Linked DNA regions of Anolis sagrei. The protein of the gene in region 1 interacts with the protein of each later gene in a pairwise test. Links are inferred from orthologs where the notes say so. Each region holds a gene or a part of one and is shown on either strand. Other genes may lie near its edges.

What was found.
Region 2: the proteins of CRY1 (region 1) and BMAL1 interact in a two-hybrid assay, tested with the Homo sapiens proteins (3 studies listed by BioGRID, with this or other methods). The link is inferred for Anolis sagrei from reciprocal best matches to the Homo sapiens genes CRY1 and BMAL1.
Region 3: the proteins of CRY1 (region 1) and PER1 interact in binary tests that used the Homo sapiens proteins (3 or more experiments, as listed by UniProt). The link is inferred for Anolis sagrei from reciprocal best matches to the Homo sapiens genes CRY1 and PER1.

What each region holds. Positions count from the first base shown.
Region 1 is NC_090025.1:169,420,672-169,428,007, reverse strand, and holds the start of CRY1 (cryptochrome-1), read left to right. Parts: upstream 1-4,325; 5' UTR 4,326-4,756; coding exon 4,757-4,914; intron 4,915-7,336.
Region 2 is NC_090021.1:254,885,073-254,891,949, forward strand, and holds the start of BMAL1 (basic helix-loop-helix ARNT-like protein 1), read left to right. Parts: upstream 1-3,861; 5' UTR 3,862-4,071; intron 4,072-6,877. UniProt on the Homo sapiens protein: Transcriptional activator which forms a core component of the circadian clock.
Region 3 is NC_090026.1:7,344,859-7,351,698, forward strand, and holds the start of PER1 (period circadian protein homolog 1), read left to right. Parts: upstream 1-3,824; 5' UTR 3,825-3,895; intron 3,896-6,840. UniProt on the Homo sapiens protein: Transcriptional repressor which forms a core component of the circadian clock.

The DNA of each region.
Region 1 (7,336 bases):
TGAGCCAGGGCACATTCTTTCCGTCTGCGCTCACTCGCGCTGTCCAACTTCGCGTCTCTCTCTCGCTCTCGCGCGCGCGCTCGTCAGCCCGTTTCCTATTGGCTTTCAAAACTTGGAGGGGGGAAAAAAAAACCTTTCCATGGAAGCCCCGTGCTTATCCGGGTACTTCTCCGCGCAGAAGGGGCGTGGCTTCAACATACCCCGCCTTCTCTGGAATCTTGTTATTTATGTCGTCCCCCCCCTTATGGTTTCATGCTTATGGAGAGAAAAAGGGGGATATCTATCTATCTATCTATCTATCTAATCTATCTATCTAATCTATCTATCTAATCTATTTAATCTATCTATCTAATCTATCTATCTATCTAATCTATCAGTCAGTCAATCTATCTATCTAATCTATCTATCTAATCTATCTATCTATCTAATCTATCTGTCTTATCTATCTAATCTATCTATCTAATCTATCTATCTAATCTATCTATCTAATCTATCTATCTATCTATAGAACTCAAAAACCACTGGACGAATTGACATCAAATTTGGACACAAGACACCTTACAATCCAATGTATCTCCTTCACTCAAAAAAAAATGATTTTGTTGTTTCTGGGATTTATAGTTCACCTACAATCAAAGAGCATTCTGAACCCCACCAACGATGGAACTGAACCAAACTTGGCATACAGTTCTCCCATGACCAACAGAAAATACTGGAAGGGTTTGGTGGGCAGTGTCCTTTGGTTTTGGAGTTGTAGTTCACCTACATCCAGAGAGCACTGTGGACTCAAACAATGATGGACCTGGACCAAACTCTACACAAATACTCAGTATGCCCAAATGTGAACACTGGTGGAGTTTGGGGGAAATAGAATCTTGACATTTGGGAGTTGTAGTTGCTGGGATTTACAGTTCACCTACAATCAAAGAGCATTCTGAACACCACCAATTGGGCCAAACCTCCCACACAGAACCCCCATGACCACCAGAGTGGGCCACAGCAAGGCATGGCAGGAGACGGCTAGTCTTATATAAATCAACATGTAATGTTTGTTTGTGGGATTAACATAACTCAAAAACCACTGGACGAATTGACACGAAATTTGGACACAAGACACCTAATAGTCCAACGAGTGTCCATGACCCATAAACACACACACACAAAACCCCAGTGGAACAGACTTAAATACCCCCAAATACACCCTATATACATATACACATACACTCATGCACATGCACACATTCATACAAACATAGATATACATATACACATGCACATATACATGCACACATACATATATACATATACACATGCATACACATACATATCCACATACATATATACACACAAATATGCATATAGACAAGCACACACATGTACACAATATGCATGTACACATATACACACACAAATATATATACACACACATATATACACCTGTAACTTTTTCAGGCTTTATTATTATTATTATTATTATTATTAGACAATGCAAATGGCTAAGGAGTTGAACTGGTACACATTAATTATTATAGTTTTAATTGATTTTTATATGGATTTTTATTATGTGATATTAGATGTTTTTAATTGATATGTATGTATGTATGTTTATGGCATCTAATTGTTGCCAATCTGTATGCCGCCCTGAGTTGCCTTTGGGCTGAAAAAATTCTATAAATAAATAAATATTTTGTATTACATTATATTATTATCAATATTAGATGTAAATACAATATATTATAAATAAAGTGTATTATTATCAGCATAGCATAATATTATATATAAATAGTGTATCATTTTTATTATACATAATAGTGTATAAGTAATATAAAGTGTATTATTATTTGCCTATTATACATAATAAAGTGTATAAATAATATAAACTGTATTATTATTAGCATAGCACAATATTATATATAGTGTATCATTTTATTATGCATAATAAAGTGTATAAATAATATATAGTGTATATTATTATTATTATTATTAGCCAATTAGACATAATAAAGTGCATAAGTAATATAAATGTATTATTAGCATAGCACAATATTATATATAAATAGCGTATCATTTTTATTATACATAATAAAGTATATTAGTAATATAAAGTGTATTATTATTATAAGCCTATTATACATAATAAAGTGTATAAATAATATAAAGTGTATTATTATTAGCATAGCATATTATATATAAATAGTGTATCATTTTTATTATACATAATAAAGTGTATAAATAATATAAAGTGTATTATTATTACCCTATTATACATAATAAAGTGTATAAATAATATAAAGTGTATTATTATTAGCATAGCACAATATTATATATATAGTATATCATTTTTATTATACATAATAGTGTATACATAATATAAAGTGTATTATTATTAGCATAGCACAATATTATATATAAATAGTATATCATTTTGTTATGCATAATAAAGTGTATAAATAATATAAAGTGTATTATTATTAACCAATTATACATAATAAAGTGTATAAATAATATAAAGTGTATTATTATTAGCATAGCATAATATTATATATAGTGTATCATGTTTATTATGCATAATAAAGTGTATAACTAATATATAATGCATATTATTATTAGCCAGTTATAAATAATAAAGTGTATAAATAATATAAAATGTATTATTAGCATAGCACAATATTATATATAAATAGTGTATCATTTTTATTATAATAGAAATGATACATAATAAAGTGTATAAATAATATAAAGACTATTTATATATAATATTGTGCTATGCTAATAATAATACATTTTATCATTTATACACTTTATTATGTATAATAGGCAAATAATAATAGTAATGCACTTTATATTACTTATACACTTTATTATGTATAATAAGAATGATACACTATTTATATATAATATTGTGCTATGCTAATAATAATGTTGTTGTTCATTCGTTCAGTCGTCTCCGACTCTTCGTGACCTCATGGACCAGCCCACGCCAGAGCTCCCTGTCGGCCGTCACCACCCCCAGCTCCTTCAAGGTCAGTCCAGTCACTTCAAGGATGCCATCCATCCATCTTGCCCTTGGTCGGCCCCTCTTCGTTTTGCTTTCCACTTTCCCCAGCATAATTGTCTTCTCTAGGCTTTGCTGTCTCCTCATGATGTGGCCAAAGTACTTCAGCTTTGTCTCTAGTATCCTTCCCTCCAGTGAGCAGCCGGGCTTTATTTCCTGGAGGATGGACTGGTTGGATCTTCTCGCAGTCCAAGGCACTCTCAGCACTTTCCTCCAACACCACAGCTCAAAAGCATCGATCTTTAGCAAGATCCGTCATTATGGTCCACACGTGCTAATAATAATAATACACTTTATATTATTTATACACTACATTATGTATAAAGGTAAAGGTAGTCCCCTGACATTAAGTCCAGTCATGTCTGACTCTGGGGTGTGGTGCTCATCTCCATTTCTAAGCCTGAAGAGCCAGCGTTGTCCGTAGACACCTCCAAGGTCATGTGGCCGGCATGACTGCATGGAGCGCCGTTACCTTCCCGCCGGAGCGATACCTATTGATCTACTCACATTTGCATGTTTTCGAACTGCTAGGTTGGCAGAAGCTAGGGCTGACAGCGGAAGCTCACGCCACTCCCCGGAATCGAACCTGTGACCTTTCGATCAACAAGCTCAGCAGCTCAGTGCTTTAACCCACTGCGCCACCGGGGGCCCTCAATAATGTTATACATTATGTATAACAGGCTAATAATACATTGTATATTATTTATACACTTTATTATGTATAATAGGCTAATAATAATACACTTTATATTACTAATATACTTTATTATGTATAATATAATATTGTGCTATGCTAATAATAATACACTTTATATTATTTATACACTTTATGTATAATAAAATGATATACTATATATAATATTGTGCTATGCTAATATTAACAATAGACTTTATATTATTTATACACTTTATTATGTATAATAGGCTAATAATAATAGACTTTATATTATATATTATTTATACACTTTATTATGTATCATTTCTATTATACATAAGTGTATTATTATTATTATTTGCCTATTATACACAATAAAGTGTATAAATAATATAGTGTATTATTATTAGCATAGCACAATATTGGTATTATATATTACTATATTGTATTATACCATCCTGTACGGCAATCTCATTAGTTACATAGATAAGAAGACCTGCATAACCATCCCTCTCCCTCCACGAGGCAGGAAAAACACATTTCAGAAACGTGAGGCGCCCCCGGTCACGTGGTGCGGGGGTGGCCAATCAGGGGCGAGGAAGGGCGGAGCTTGGCGGCTTCCGTCGTTGGGACGAGTTGCCTCGAGTCACAGGGCGGGCGGCAAGGGAGGAAGGAAGTTGGGTTATTTCCCCTTCATTCTTCTTTCCTCTGAGGGGAAAAAAACGGCTATTTAGAGGGAATTAATTAGGAATAGAGAGTGGAAGAGGAGGAGGAGAGGGAGGGGGCGGCAGTTTGGAAACCCAGGAGGGGCGCTGAGGAAGGAAAACAATCCGAGAGGGATGCGTTTCGCCCCCAACACCGTCGCCGCTGCTTCCACCGCCGCGGCCGCTGCTTCCACGGGATCTTAAAGCGGTTTCTCGTCGCTTCTTGGCCCTCTTCTTCTTCTTCTTCCCCGCTCAGCGGCGGCATGAGCTTGGCTTCGACTTGAGCCACGCTCCTCGGCTGTAACCGTTCTCTTCTCCTGCTTGTGCTGCCTCTCGTCAGTGATGGGGGTGAACGCGGTGCACTGGTTCCGCAAGGGGCTCCGTCTCCATGACAACCCGGCCCTGAGGGAGGTCATCCAAGGAGCCGACAGCGTCCGCTGCGTCTACATCCTCGACCCCTGGTTCGCCGGCTCTTCCAACGTCGGCATCAACCGCTGGAGGTGAGTGGCAGCCCTTCCCTCATCTTTTTACTTTATGTAAGCAAGCCCCCCCCCCCCCGCTTCTAAATCTCCCTTTTCTCCCGGGAGTGTGCGCATGCGCGGCGCCGCCTGGTTATACAACGCTGCTGCAGGTACTATGTAACACTCGGAAGTAGCCTGCTGTTTCCCTCGAAATAGTTTGGGTGTCGTCGTTAGGTCGGTGTGGGTAGTGCAGGACGCATTGGACGCAGTTAAGCTGTATTATATTGGGTCTACACCAGGCATGGGTGGACTTCGGCCCTCCAGATGCTTTGGACTTCAACTCCCACCATTCCTAACAGACTCAGGCCCTTTCCTTTCCCCCCTCAGCCACTTAAGCCCATCAGTACAGCAGTATTGTGTATCACAGGCCTTGGCTAGCTTGCGCCTTCCCTCCAGGTGTTTTGGACTTCAACTCCCACCACAGCCTCAGGCCCTTTCCTCTAAAATTACAACAGCAAAACAGCAGAGAGGAAACAACCAGGCACATCTTAACACCTCTCAACAGAACATTTTCCCAGGCACAGCCAGGCCTTCAAATGCTAATGAAGGTGATCAGCTGAAACATTCACACCTAACTGCAGCGGGGAAGAGCTCCTTGCCCCACCCCAGCCATTCCACAGATATATAAACCCATTGTCCTAATTCCAACAGACCTCACTACCTCTGAGGATGCTTGCCATAGATGCAGGCGAAACGTCAGGAGAAATGCCTCTAGAACATGGCTCTATAGCCCGATAAAACCCACAAGAACCTAGACTTTGTATTCCTAGGCGCAAAGATTACTGCAGATGCAGACTGTGGCCAGGAAATCAGAAAACGCTTACTTCTTGGGAGGAGAGCAATGTCCAGTCTCGATAAAATAGTAAAGAGCAGAGACATCAGACTGGCAACAAAGATCCGCCTAGTCAAAGCCATGGTATTCCCTGTAGTAACCTACGGATGTGTGAGCTGGACGTTAGGGAAGGCTGAGCGAAGGAAGATCGATGCTTTTGAGCTGTGGTGTTGGAGGAAAGTTCTGAGCGTGCCTTGGACTGCGAGAAGATCCAACCAGTCCATCCTCCAGGAAATAAAGCCTGACTGCTCACTGGAGGGAAGGATACTAGAGACAAAGTTGAAGTACTTTGGCCACATCATGAGGAGACAGCAAAGCCTAGAGAAGACAACTATGCTGGGGAAAGTGGAAGGCAAAAGGAAGAGGGGCCGACCAAGGGCAAGATGGATGGATGGCATCCTTGAAGTGACTGGACTGACCTTGAAGGAGCTGGGGGTGGTGACGGCCGACAGGGAGCTCTGGCGTGGGCTGGTCCATGAGGTCACGAAGAGTCGGAGACGACTGAACGAATGAAGAACAACAACACACCAGGCATGGGTGGACTTGGGCCCTCCGGGTGTTTTGGACTTCAACTCCCACCATTCCTAACAGCCTCAGTCCCTTTCCTTCCCCCCCTCAGCCACTTAAAGCCCATCAACACAGCAGTATTGTGTATCACAGGCCTTGGCCAGCTTGGGCCTTCCCTCCAGTTGTTTTGGACTTCAACTCCCACCATTCCTAACCCCCTCGGGCCCTTTCTTTTCCCCCTCAGCCACTTAAGCCCATCAACACAGCAGCATTGTGTATCACAGGCCTGGGCCAGCTTGAGCCTTCCCTTCAGGTGTTTTGGACTTCAACTCCCACCATTCCTAACCGCCTTGGGCCTCCCCCCCCCCCCCCTCAGCTGCTTAAGCTGGCCCAGTCCTAGGATCAGACCCGTAGCCAGGATTTCAATTGGGGGGGGGGGTGAGTCTGAGTGAAAGAGGGTCTACCCTAGCAAACCTTTTGTAAAGGTAAAGGTAGTCCCCTGACATTAAGTCCAGTCATGTCTGACTCTGGGGTGTGGTGCTCATCTCCATTTCTAAGCCGAAGAGCCGGCATTGTCCGTACACACCTCCAAGGACATGTGGCCAGCATGATCACATGGAGCACCATTCATCTTGATATCTTAATATATTTTCATGCCGCTGCTCATGTCAAGGAGTGTACAACAACAAAACATAAGCACACCATACAACTGAGCAGGCCTGTAGCGAGGGGCGGGGGGGGGTTAGGGGTTCAAACCCCTCCCGAAATGTTTCAGATTTTTTTAAAAAAAACTGGTTTACTCATGAATTTTAACTGGTTAACCAAATCCCCATGCTAAGTCTATGAGATGCAAAAAATTAAGAGTCCCTCCAGAACTGCAAGCACTATCTCAGGCAAATACTGACAATTTATTCACACTGTCATTACTTGCAGCAATAGCCGATGTAGTGAAGCAACCAAGTTGGGTATGTGTGTGTTGAATGTTCTCATTAAGGAGGCCAGACTTGGTGGAGGTGGTTGACAGGCGCAGAGCTGCAGGCTATGGAAGGCTGCTCTGCCCTC
Region 2 (6,877 bases), on another chromosome or scaffold:
CAGAACTGTATTGTACCAGAACAGACTTCACATTTCATCTTCATATACAAATCCATTCCAGATTACCCCCAAACTCTCTTCAACAATATAATATAGTGGTCGGGGATGGGGGAGGGGAGGATGTAGCCCATTTGTTGATGCTGTTCTTTCCAGATTGCCAGAAATCTTTATTTTCTTACTCTTCAGTGGTTCCCAACCTTTTTTTGACCAGGGACCACTCTCCATATTAGTATCAAAAGGTTATGAATCAGTTTTTGGTCAACTTTAGATTTGGTTTGTTTGGGGTGCTGATTCAGAAAACTGCATTGGCTACACCACATCAGCTCTAGTTTCTGATACAAAACATATCCAGTAGTTGTCATCTGCTTGCCCACAGAAAACCATATTTAATAATCTCGAGCTGATGTGGTCTATCCAATGCATTTTCTGAATCAGCACCCAAAATAACCCCAGGAACAGGCCTAAAAACAAAGACACCAAGAAAAATAATTGGACTGTGTTATTATCTGTGGATTTTGTTAACATTCCTGTTTTTTTTAAAAAAGAGGGGGCTGAAGTTGAAAAAAATACAAAAAGCAGAGTGTGAGACCTAAGAAACTGTCCCTTATGGCTTTAATAACAACTGGGGGACTAAAGAGGGTCTTACAAAGGGCTGCTTGCCCATTACATCTGATATGTGGCAATGGGAGCTAACAACAACAACTTTGGGGGACTTCTCTTACTCCCTCACACGTGTAACTGGGTGAGTTTTCTCCGCCCTGGCCTGGGAAGCCTCTGAAGGCTGAGGAAGTGCTGGCAAGTGCAACAGCCTTCTTTCCTCTCTCCCTCTCCTTCACTCTCTCGCTCCCTCACGCATATCGCCAGGTGAGTTTTCTCCATCCTGGTCTGAGAAACCTAGGCTGAGAAAGCACTGGTAAGGGTGAGGGCAACGCGCTGGTGCTCCTTCCTTCCTTCCCTCTCTCCTCCAATGCACCCCTGGTGCCAATTTTCCCCACATCTCGCAGACCTTATTTTAGGTCTCGCGGCCCACAGGTTGGGAACCAATGCTCTATTTTCTTACTCCAATTCTTAACATGCCTCGAGTTCCATTACTTCAATGAATAATAAAAATTATGCTCCTGCAGGCCACCCAAATGACTACCGACATATTGCAATTTCCCATCACAGCCCTACCACACTTGGAATCGCAGAAAGCCTGGAAGAAAATAAGATTCAATTGCAAAGGCAGCCTCATAATCCAGGAAGCATTTGCCCATAGAGACAAAAGAACAAATTCATAGGTGTGCAATGATAAATACCTGTTTTCAATATTGTAGCTGTTGTAAATAAGATTTTTAAGTGCTGAATTCAAACAAATTCAATATTTCTTTTATACCACACACAGTTATTTCACAAATTTTATTAGGAATTTTAATATAATTTCATTTAATCACACATTTTGAAGCATAGAAATACCAAAGCAAATTGTGGAAAAAAACTGTACAGGCTGAATATCTCTTATCCGGAAATATCCAAAGAAATGGCTGAGATACTGACACCTTTGCTTTCCAGTGGTTCAAAGGAGTACGGCAGGGTTGCATACTTTCACCCTACCTATTCAATTTGTATGCAGAACACATTGTGCAATGTGAGGGGCTTGATGAATCCAAGGCTGGATTTAAAATTGCTGAAGAAATGTTAACAAGCTTAGATATGCAGATGATATCACTTTGATGGTCAAAAGCAAGGAGGAGTTGAGGAGCCTCATAACCAAGGTGAAAGAAGAAATTGTAAAAGCTGGGCTGCAGTTAAACATAAAAAAACAAGATTATGGCAACCAAACTGATTGAGAATTGGAAAAATAGAGGCAGTAACGGACTTTGTATTTCTAGGTGCAAAGATTACTGCAGATGCAGACTGCAGCCAGGAAATCAGAAGACGTTTACTTCTTGGGAGGAGAGCAATGACCAATCTCGATAAAATAGTGAAGAGTAGAGACATCACACTTGCAACAAAGATCCGCCTAGTCAAAGCCATGGTATTCCCTGTAGCAACCTATAGATGTGAGAGCTGGACCATAAGGAAGACTGAGCGAAGGAAGTTAGATGCTTTTGAACTGTGGTGTTGGAGGAAAATTTGGAGAGTGCCTTGGACTACAAGAAGATCAAACCAGGCCATACTCCAGGAAATAAAGCCTGGCTGCTCACTGGAGGGAAGGATATTAGAGGCCAAGATGAAGTACTTTGGCCACATAATGACAAGACAGGAAAGCTTAGAGAAGACAATGATGCTGGAAAAAGTGGAAGGAAAAAGGGAGAGGGGCAAGATGGCTGGATGGCATCCTTGATGTGACTGGCTTGACTTTGAGGGAGCTGGGGCTGGTGATAGCTGGGGATGGTGATGGCCAACTGGGAGCTCTGGCGTGGGCTGGTCCAGGTCACGAAAAGTCACAAGCAACTAAACAAATAAACAACAACACAGAAGTATTAAAAGATATTGTGCAAACTTTGTATCAAAGTTGTGTATGAAATACATGCAAGTTCCCTGTTGAGACTGTGGGGTTCTACCTTCAGGATAACTCATTTGATACATCCTTGTGGGCAGAGGCAGCCCGAGGTAATTTTCAATGGTAAGCAAACAGTATTTTGGTGCCCCCTCCCCCCAACCAATCACTGATATATATTTTCTGTTCGTCGTGGGAGTTCTGTGTGCCATATTTGGTTCAATTCCATCATTGGTGGAGTTCAGAATGCTCTTTGATTGTAGGTGAACTATACATCCCAGAAACTACAACTCACATATGTCAAGATCTATTTTTCCCTAAGAGCACCTCAAGAGTGCCCCTGGGCAAAATCAACTATACTCCAAATGCTTACTTTGCATAATGGGTTGAGCCGCCCCTGCTTGTGGGAGGCTTCTCTCATGTCCCCGCATGGGGAACTGGAGCTGATAGAGGGAGCTCATCCGCCTCTCCCCGGATTTGAACCTGTGACCTGTCGGTCTTCAGTCCTGCCAGCACAGGGGTTTAACCCACTGCGCCAATGGGGGCATCAAAACATCCGGACATCCCCTGGGCAACGTCCTTGCAGACAACCAATTCTCTCACACCAGAAGCGACTTGCAGTGTCTCAAGTCGCTTCTGACACGACAAAAAAATTGATACATGCAAATATTCCAAAATATGATTTAAAAAAATCCCAAATACTGGACATTTTGGTCCTAAGCACTTCTGATACTCAACCTGTACCTGATGGTGAAGACCTGAGGCAATTTTTCGTTACGGAATAGAACATTTTGATAAAACGAGAAAACAAAATAGTAAGGTGGGTGTAATTCTCAATGTTACAGGTCTGTGTGGTGGGAAGGGGGGAAGGGGTGCTCCCTGCCATCCTGAAACGTTTCTCAGGCGCCACCGGGAAGGAGGAGGAGCGAGGCCCCCTCGGAGACTCGAAGGGATCTGAGGCGCGCGGCGTTGGAGTCCCCGGGCGGCCTCCCTGTGACGACAGCAGCGCGCGCAGGGGAAGCTGGGCCGCGCCTCGGCAGCCCTACATCCGGGTCCCGCCCGTCCCAAACAGTCCCTTACGCAACCGTTCGCCGCTGGAGCCACCCGAGGCTGGCAGGGAGGCAGCGCGAGAGAGAAGTGCGCGCGCGCCTCTCCCCACAACCCTCCTCCCTCCCTTCCTCCTGTCTTCTAAAGCAGGCGGGAACCACAAGCGCGTTCTCGCCATTCCGACGCCTTCACTCGCCGGGCGGCGATGGCGATTGGCCGCCCGGGTCGGAAGGCGGGCCGAAGGGGCCGCTCTTTGGGCGACGATTGGCTCTGGAGGGTTGTGCCCCGCGATTGGTCGGGGGCTCGGTGCGGGGGGAGAAGCCATTGGTTGGAAAGTAGGTTAGTGGTGCGACGTTCAGCGGCAAGCCAGGCGGAAAGTAGGTCAGGTACAGGGGCTGCTGCTGTTGCTGCTTGCGCCGGGCGCCACTCCTTTCGCTACGCGGCGCAAGAGGAGGCAAGGCAGGAAGGAAGGAAGGAGGAGGGAGGGAGAGAGAGAGAGAGAGGGGGCGCCCAGCCGTGACCCCCGCGCCCTTCGAAACACGGTGAGGAAACGGGCGGCCCAAGGTGGGGAGGGGAGGCCACGGGGGAATCCCTGCTGTGCTGAAGCCGAGGCGAAGGGGATCCCTTTGGCTGCAGCTGAGGGGAAGGAGCGGTTGGAGCGGTTCCCCTTCGGAGGAAGCCCGGGGGGAATAGCTATTCTGTGTGTGTGTCTGTCAATGCGGTTGGCTCTGCTTCTGCGTAATATGCCCAAAAAGGGTGGGCGAGGGTCCTCACGGCACAAAATACACGCGTCCGGCTTGTAAGAGGCCGCTCAGCGTCTCCTTAACGCACTTCGACACCGCTTTAGCTGCTGTGCAATCCGGGGGGGGGGGGGGTAGCTTGCTCAAGACCTCGTAAAGCTACAACTCCCAGGTAGCCATCACATTGTGCAATGACAGTTAAAGGGGTGCCAGGATGCATTCATTCTACTGTGTAAATGCACCACATTCTACTGTATTTCTAAGGGTACGTCTACATTGTAGAATTGACACAGTTTGGTAGTATGGTTCAATGCTGTAGAACAGGCATGGGCAGCCTTCGTCCCTCGAGGTGTTTTGGACTCCAACTCCCACCATACCTAACAGCCTCAGGCCTCTTCCTTTTTCCTCTCAGCCACTTAAGAATGTTGGAATGTTGAGGCGGACCAATCAGAAACCATATGCAAATTAGTAAGTCAAGATAGCTCATGCATGGGGTGTTTTGGACTTCAGCTCCCACCATTCCTTACATCCTTGGGCCCTTTTCTTTTCCCCCTCAGCCGCTTAAGCTGTAAGGAATGGTGGGAGTTGAAGTCCAAAACACATGGTCGGCCCAAGTTTGCTCATGCCTGCTATAGAATCAAGACAGCTGCAGTTTTACAAAGTCTATTAGCATGCTTTGCTCAGGAGTGCTGGTGCCTCACCAAACTACAACTCCCAAGGGGCGCATGTCTGTATTTCCTGACATGTTATTTGTTACAGGGAAAGTATCAAAGAAAGAGCTTGTCCTGGGTGGCTGAGGAGAGATAAGGAAATGGACATTACCATAGTTTCCCTTCCTTGAGGGAGCTCAGTTTGTTTATAACAGGCCCTCCTTATCTACGGATACAGCACCCATAGATTAAACTATCCGCAGCTTGAAAAGACGTCTAAAAGCATTAATTTTGCCATTTTATGCAAAGAGAACTGGTTTTACTACTCCATTGTATATAATGGGACTTGAGCGTCCATAGATTTTTGTATGTATGGAGGGCCTGGGACCAAACATCATCCAAGGACACACTGTAGAGTATGGTCTCTTTAGGTTGTGTACTGTTATGTTGTGTTTTGAGGCCTTGGCCTTTGTAAGCTGCATTGAGTCCTTCGGGAGTTGCTAGCGGGGTACAAATAAAGTTAATAAATAATAATAAAAAGCCACATGATTCCAATGCCAGTTCTGTAGGGTTTCTTTCTTTTTGATTTGGAAGACATTCCTGCCCAGCATGCTACAGGATGGAGGATGGAGTTCGCATTCTAACTCCATAGTTGGCTTTTCGTTTTAATTATTATTTTGGAAACAATGTTCCTGGCCGTTCGGCATCTACTAATGCCACACTTGGCTGACCTTTTTGCTTTTAAACTTCAGCATAGACAGTGGAATACATATTTTGAATTCATTTTGAAACAAACTTATAGAAAACTAGGAAGATGCTCAGAGAGACAAAAAATAATAAAACTCACATAACTGATATTAAGCTTTGAAAGAGACAACATTGAATAAACAGGCTCAGCTCTCCAGCTCTCAAAGGGAATGAAACCTGTTTACTGGGAACTAAGTCCTGTTTAACTTCCTAGCAATTGTAAACAAAGTATCGTGTGTACTTCCAAATACATTCTTATCTGCTTTAGGGTTATGAGCAAGGGAACTCATTCTATATTGGTATACTCCAAAAATTATCTCTGTGGCTTATAAATATGAGTTGGATGTTTTAATTGAAGAATTCTTTTTGTGTGTGTTATTCTGCCTCCAAGTGAAAGAGTGTCCATCAAGCATATCACACTTTTATAAAAGCCTTGCCACAGTTGTCCTTATTTTGACCATTACCCTATCACTCTTTTCATACAGCTTCACTATCCCTCTTTCTAGCTGATGATTATAACTTCATGGTGAAAATCCATTACTGAGACTGCTTATGAGGTGGAGATGGTATTTTGATATGAGTTATTCTTTTGGTTGACTACTGGGTGAACCAAGATTATTGGGCATATGAGAGGAAGCATTGATTTTTGGAACAGGCTTGAGTCTTACTTCAAGAGGGAACCACTAGCTGCCAGTCTGCTTCCGAGCACAATTCAAAGCGCTGGCTTTAGCCTATAGAGCCCTAAACATTTCCGGCCCGGTCTACCTGGCTGAACCTTCCCCTATGAACCAGTTCAGAGTTTATGATCATCTGGGGAGGCACTGCTCTAGATCCCACCTTCCTTGCAAGTGCGATTGGTATGGACAAAAGATAGGGCCTTCTCAGTGGTGGCCCCTTGGTTGTGGAACTCCCTCCCTAGCAACATTAGATTAACCCCCTCCCTCCTAGCCTTCAGGAGGAAAGTCGAAACCTGGTTCTGGGAGCAGGATTTAAAAAAATAGGACAGTGCAGTGGAATTACAGTGTTCCCTCACTGTCTTGCAGTTTGCCTTATGCGGACTCGCTGTTTTGCCGTTTAAAAAAAATGTATTTTTAGGTAGGTAGGGTAAAGGTTTTCCCTTGACATTAACTCCAGTTGTGTCCGACTCTGGGGTGTGGTGCTCATCTCCATTTCTAAGCCGAAGAGCCAGCATTGTCCTTAGACACCTCCAA
Region 3 (6,840 bases), on another chromosome or scaffold:
CTAGTCCAGCGCGCGGCAGCCATATTACTAACGGGAGCAGGACGCAGGGAGCATACAACGCCCTTGTTGTCCCAGCTCCACTGGCTGCCGATCTGCTACCGGGCCCAATTCAAGGTGCTGGTGTTGGCCTACAAAGCCCTAAACGGTTCCGGCCCAAAATACCTGTCTGACCGCATCTTGGCCTATGAGCCCACGAGGACTTTGAGATCGTCTGGGGAGGCCCTTCTCTCGATCCCGCCTGCCTCACAGGCACGCCTGGTGGGGACGAGGGATAGGGCCTTCTCAGTGGTGGCCCCCCGGCTGTGGAACACTCTCCCTGTAGACATCAGACAGGCGCCCTCCCTGATAACATTCCGCAAGAGGCGAAAGACATGGTTGTGTGAGAAGGCGTTTGACTAGTGCTACATCAATTGGCAATGACGTTTGGAACGGAACATGGATAACGAGATCGGATTGTGATTCTATGATTAGACGTCGCGAATGATTTAGTGTAATTGTATTATTGACTGTGATGTTGTTATTGTTGTCTGTGATATTGCTTATATTGTAATTTGTTTTTATATGTTGTACACCGCCGTGAGTCGCCCTAGGGCTGAGAACGGCGGTCTACAAATGCAGTAAATAAATAAATAAATAAATAAATAAATAAATAAATATTTAATATATCTGCATACAAGTGGAATAGGTTGGGGGAGAGTATACAACCCTGCCGTACGACTTTCCCAGTCATGGACCAGTCTGTTGTTCCAGGGTCAGTTCTTACTGTATATACTAGCCATCCCCTGCCACGCACTGCTGTGGCCCACTCTGGTGGTCATGGGGGTTCTGCGTGGGAGGTTTGGCCCAATTCTATTGTCGGTGGGGTTCAGAATGCTCTGTGATTGTAGGTGAACTATAAATCCCAGCAACTACAACTCCAAAATGTCAAGATTCTATTTTCCCCAAACTCCACCCCTGTTCACATTTGGGCATATTGAGTATTTGTGTAGAGTTTGGTCCAGATCCATCATTGTTTGAGTCCACAGTGCTCTCTGGATGTAGGTGAACTACAACTCCAAAACTCAAGGTCAATGTCCACCAAACCCTTCCAGTATTCTCTGTTCTGTGTGCCAAGATTGGTTCAATTCCATCGTTGGTGGGGTTCAGAATGCTCTTTGATTGTAGGTGAACTATAAATCCCAGCAACTACAACTCCCAAATGACGAAATCAATTTTTTTGAGTGAAGGACATACATTGCGTTGTTAGGTGTCTTGTGTCCAAATTTGGTGTCAATTTGTCCAGTGGTTTTTGAGTTTTGTTAATCCCACAAACGAACATTACATTTTTATTTATATAGATATAAACACAGGTATGTGTATGTAAGGTAATGCTCAAGATCCTGCAAGGAAGACTCCAGCAATACATGGAGCGAGAGTTGCCAGATGTTCAAGCTGGGTTTAGAAAAGGCAGAGGAACGAGAGACCAGATTGACAATATCCGGATGCTGGAGAATGGAGAAAGGCAGGGAGTTTCAGAAAAACATCTACTTCTGCTTCATGGACTACTCTAAAGCCTTTGACTGTGTGGATCATAATAAATTGTGGCAAGTTCTTGGTGGGATGGGCATACCAAGCCCCCTTCCCTCTCTCCTGAGGAATCTGTACAAGGACCAAGAAGCAACAGTCAGAACTGACCACGGAACAACAGACGGGTTCGAGATTGGGAAAGGCGTACGGCAAGGCTGCATCCTCTCACCCAAACTATTCAACTTGTATGCAGAACACATCGTGCGAGGATGCGCGGGGCTGGATGAATGCAAGGCTGGGGTGAAAATTGCTACAGGCCTGCACATACCTGTGTTTGTTGTCGTTGTTCATTCGTTCAGTCGTCTCTGACTCTTCGTGCCCTCATGGACCAGCCCACGCCACAGCTCCCTGTCGGCCGTCACCACCCCCAGCTCCTTCAAGGTCAGTCCAGTCACTTCAAGGATGCCATCCATCCATCTTGCCCTTGGTCGGCCCCTCTTCCTTTTGCCTTCCACTTTCCCCAACATCATTGTCTTCTCTAGGCTTTGCTCTCTCCTCATGATGTGGCCAAAGGACTTCCACTTTGTCTCTAGTATCTTTCCCTCCAGTGAGCAGTCGGGCTTTATTTCCTGTAGGATGGACTGGTTGGATCTTCTCGCAGTCCAAGGCACTCTCAGCACTTTCCTCCAACACCACAGCTCAAAAGCATCAATCTTCCTTCGCTCAGCCTTCCCTAAGGTCCGGCTCTCACATCCGTAGGTGACTACAGGGAATACCATTGCTTTGACTAGGCAATGGATCTTTGTTGCCAGTCTGATGTCTCTACTCTTCACTATTTTATCGAGACTGGACATTGCTCTCCTCCCAAGAAGTAAGCGTCTTCTGATTTCCTGGCCACAGTCTGCATCTGCACTCATCTTTGCACCTAGAAATACAAAGTCTGTCACGGCCTCCACATTTTCTCCCTCTATTTTCCAGTTGTCAATCATTCTTGTTGCCATAATCTTGGTTTTTTTGACGTTTAGCTGCAACCCAGCTTTTGCGCTTTCTTCTTTCACCTTGATTAGAAGGCTCCTCAGCTCCTCCTCGCTTTCGGCCATCAGAGTGGTGTCATCTGCATATCTGAGGTTGTTAATGTTTCTTCCAGCAATTTTCACCCCAGCTTTGCATTCATCAAGCCCCGCACATCCTCGCATGATGTGTTCTGCATACAAGTTAAAAAGGTTGGGTGAGAGGATGCAGCCTTGCCGGACGCCTTTCCCAATCTGGAACCAGTCTCCTGTTCCGTGGTCAGTTCTGACTGTGGCTCCTTGGTCCTTGTACAGGTTCCTCAGAAGAGTGACAAGGTGGCTTGGGATGCCCATCCCACTAAGAACTTGCCACAATTTATTATGATCCACACAGTCAAAGGCTTTAGAGTAGTCAATGAAGCAGAAGTAGATGTTTTTCTGAAACTCCCTGCCTTTCTCCATTATCCAGCATCCAGATATTGGCAATCTGGTCTCTCGTTCCTCTGCCTTTTCTAAACCCAGCTTGAACATCTGGCAACTCTCGCTCCATGTATTGCTGGAGTCTTCCTTGCAGGATCTTGAGCATTACCTTACTGGCATGAGAAATAAGGGCCACTGTGCGGAAGTTGGAGCAGTCTTTCGCATTTCCCTTTTTTGGTATGGGGATATAAGTTGATTTTTTCCAGTCTGATGGCCATTCTTGTGTTTTCCATATGTGTGTATATATATGTGTGTGTGTGTATATGTGTGTGTGTGTATATATATCAAATGTAGAAGGAAAAGAGCCTTCTACCCTTCCCTCCCCCACGTCGCCTCTTCCAAATTATCGGCCCCGCCCCCTCGGCGCCAAACTTCGTCAAACTGGAGGCCACGCCCCCGCCTCTCCCGCCACGCCCCCTTTTTGCCTCTCCAAACTGTAAACACTTACAGCAGCAGCGGCCGCGTGAGGCCTTTTGGCACGTGTACTCCTTTCCGAAGCAGGCCAGCCAATGGGAAGCCTGCGTGGCGGAGACAACCAATGGGCGCCCGGAGTGGGCGTGGCCCGCCGGCACGCGGACTCCTGCATGCTGCTGCGGAACGACCCAATAGGATCCGGAAGGGGGCGGGGCTGGTTTTGCCGAAGCTGTCACGCGGCAGCCTGCATGTTGCGGCGCCGGCTGGCCAATCGCAAGCCGAGCTGAGCAAGACGAGCGGGGAGGGGCGGCCAATGAGGGGGCGTGGCGGGAGGCTCGGGCGGAGGCGATTGGTGGACAGCTGGGAGAGGGGGGCGTGCCCGGCTCACGCGGACGAGTGCATGGGGCCTGAGTGGAGCGCGCAAGGGGTTTAGCCTTTCTCGTCGTTACAGCGCCACAGAGGAGACCGAGGGAGCGGCGTTGAAGGTAAGCAGCGGAAGTCGGTCCGGGGGAAAAAGGGGGCTGAGGCCAGGAGAGGAAGGGGAGAGCAGGAAGCTGGGAGTCCAACAGGAGGAACCATTAGGAAGGGGTCAGGTTTCAAGAGAAGGGAGAGCAAGATCATGTTTACCTCAGAGAATTCAAACTAGATCATGTTTACCTCAGAAAAGCCAAACTAGATCATGTTTACCTCAGAAAAGCCAAACAAGATAATGTTTACCTCAGAAAAACCAAGATTATGTTTACCTCAGAAAAACCAAGATGTTTACCTCAGAAAAGCCAAACAAAATCATGTTTATCTCAGAAAAACCAAGATTTTGTTTACCTCAGAAAAGCCAAACTAGATTTTGTTTACCTCAGAAAAACCAAGATTATGTTTACCTCAGAAAAGCCAAACAAGATCATGTTTACCTCAGAAAAACCAAGATTTTGTTTACCTCAGAAAAGCCAAACTAGATCATGTTTACCTCAGAAAAGCCAAACTAGATTTTGTTTACCTCAGAAAAGCCAAACAAGATTATGTTTACCTCAGAAAAGCATTGTCTACAAAAGTGAGTGGATGAGCAGAAAGGGACAAATTATTTCCTTGGATTATATGTATATACTATTTCTAGACAGGCATATGTGTGTGTATAGGAGGGATGGGGCAACTTGGGCCCTCCAGGTGTTTTGGACTCCCAACTCCCACCATTCCTAACAGCCTCAGGCCCCTTCCTTCCTTAAGCGGCTGAGGGGGAAAAGGAAAGGGCCTGAGGCTGTTAGGAATGGTGGGAGTTGGAGTCCAAAACATCTGGAGGGCCCAAGTTGCCCCATCCCTCCTCTATACCCACAAAAATATGTATAATACGCAATTTAAAGTCATATATATATATTGTGGTTATTATAATGTTATGTATGTGTGAATGTACTGTCAAATGTTGCTTCTCTTATTGTTTTCCGTCCTTTTCAAAATATCCATCCTGAATATGTTTTCATTTTACCCTATGCCCGCAAAAAAAACTCCTCATAAAAAAAGAAATTGGCCAAAGGGCTGAAGTAGGAGGGGTCTAGTTTGGGAGGAAGGACAGGTTTGTACGCAAAAGGATACGCCCAAAGGAAAGGGAAGAAGGAATGAGGAAAATGAAGGAGGTGAGAAGTTTACGCAATCCTCCAAAGTTAAAACAAAAACGCCTAAAAGGGAACGGGGTTTGATGTAGAGGATGGATGGATATCTGTTGGGAGGGATTGGTTTATGTCCGGATGGGGTTGGTTGAACTGGATGCCCCTTGGGATCTCTCCCAATTCTATGATTCGAGGATCATAGAATTGTAGAGTTGGGAGAGACTTCTAGGGGCATCCAGTCCAACCCCATCCAGACATAATCCTAGCCCTCCCGACAGATGGTAGCAGGGTTTGAAGCAGAGGCTGAATGGACATCTGTCGGGAGGGGCTTTATTATGTCGGGATGGGGTTGGTTTTTTGGACTGGATGCCCCTTGGGATCTCTCACAACTCTACGATTTGAGGATCATGGAATCGTAGAGTTGGGAGAGAACTCAAGGGACATCCAGTCCAACCCCATCCAGACATAATCCTAGCCCTCCCGACAGATGGTAGCAGGATTTGAAGCAGAGGCTGTATGGACATCTGTCGGGAGGGGTTTTATTATGTCCAGATGGGGTTGGTTGGACTGGATGCCCTTTGGAATCTCTACGATTCGAGAATCGTAGAGTTGGGACAGACCCCAAGGGGCATCCAGTCCAACCCCGTCCAGACATAATCCTAACCCTCCCGACAGATGGTTGGATTGGATGCCCCTTGGGACCTCTCCCTACTTGGATTATAGAACCGTAGAGTTGTGAGAGACCCAAAGGGGAATCCAGTCCAACCCCAGCCAGACATAATCCTAACTCTCCCAACAGATAGTAGGACTGGATGTCCCTTGGGGCATCCAGTTGAGAGAGATCCCAATTCCAAAATTGTAGAGTTGGGAGAGACCCCAAAGGGCATCCAGTCCAACCCCATCCAGACATAATCCTAGCCCTCCCAACAGATGGTTGGACTGGATGCTCCTTGGGACCTCTCCTAACTTGGATAATTGAATCGTAGAGTTGGGAGAGACCCCAAGGGGCATCTAGTCCAACCCTATCCTGACCTAATCCAAGCCCTCTGGGCAGATGGTTGGACTGGATATCCTTTGAGATCTCCCCCAATGCGGAGACATAATTCAAGCCCTCCTGACAGATGGTTGGACTGGATGTCCCTTGGGGTCTCTCCCAACTCTACAATTCTAGGATCATAGAATCGTAGAGTTGGGAGAGACCCCAAGGGGCATCCAGTCCAACCCCATCCAGACCAAGCCAGATATCCATCCAGCCTCGTCTTAAAAATCTCAAGAGAAGGAGATTCCCTTACAGTCTCAGGCAGTATATTCCACCGTCAAACACCTCTTACCATCAGGAAGTTCCTTCTAATGTTTGTATGGACAGTTTGAAAAAGCATAGAGGGTTGTAAGGATGAGAAAGATACGCCATTTAGGGTCTTGTATAGGAGAGATTTAGGGGGAAAGTAACAGGCATCATGCTGATGGGTGTCGCTGCGGAACAAAGCAACATTTTGAAAACCGAAAATTAATAACAGACCAGCAATAGGCTGTTGACACAAATTTTGAAAGAAGAGGCCATTTCACAATTTCAAAAATTGTTTTTTTGGGGGCAGAGGGCTGGTATTAATCACTCCGCACTCATGGCTTTGTTTATTTCTTTATTATTTACTTTGTTTTATATCCCCCTCTCTTTCGTTGGGGCAACATTTGTTTCAAATATTCTGGTGACTAATTGGAGTCGGGTTTAGCAGCTGGTGTGTGTCAAGAATGGCTCTAGTCTTTCTTCCTGAAGACTTTGCTTTTTCTTTATCATTATTTTTTTATTTTCAATAAATACATTTAAAAACCTT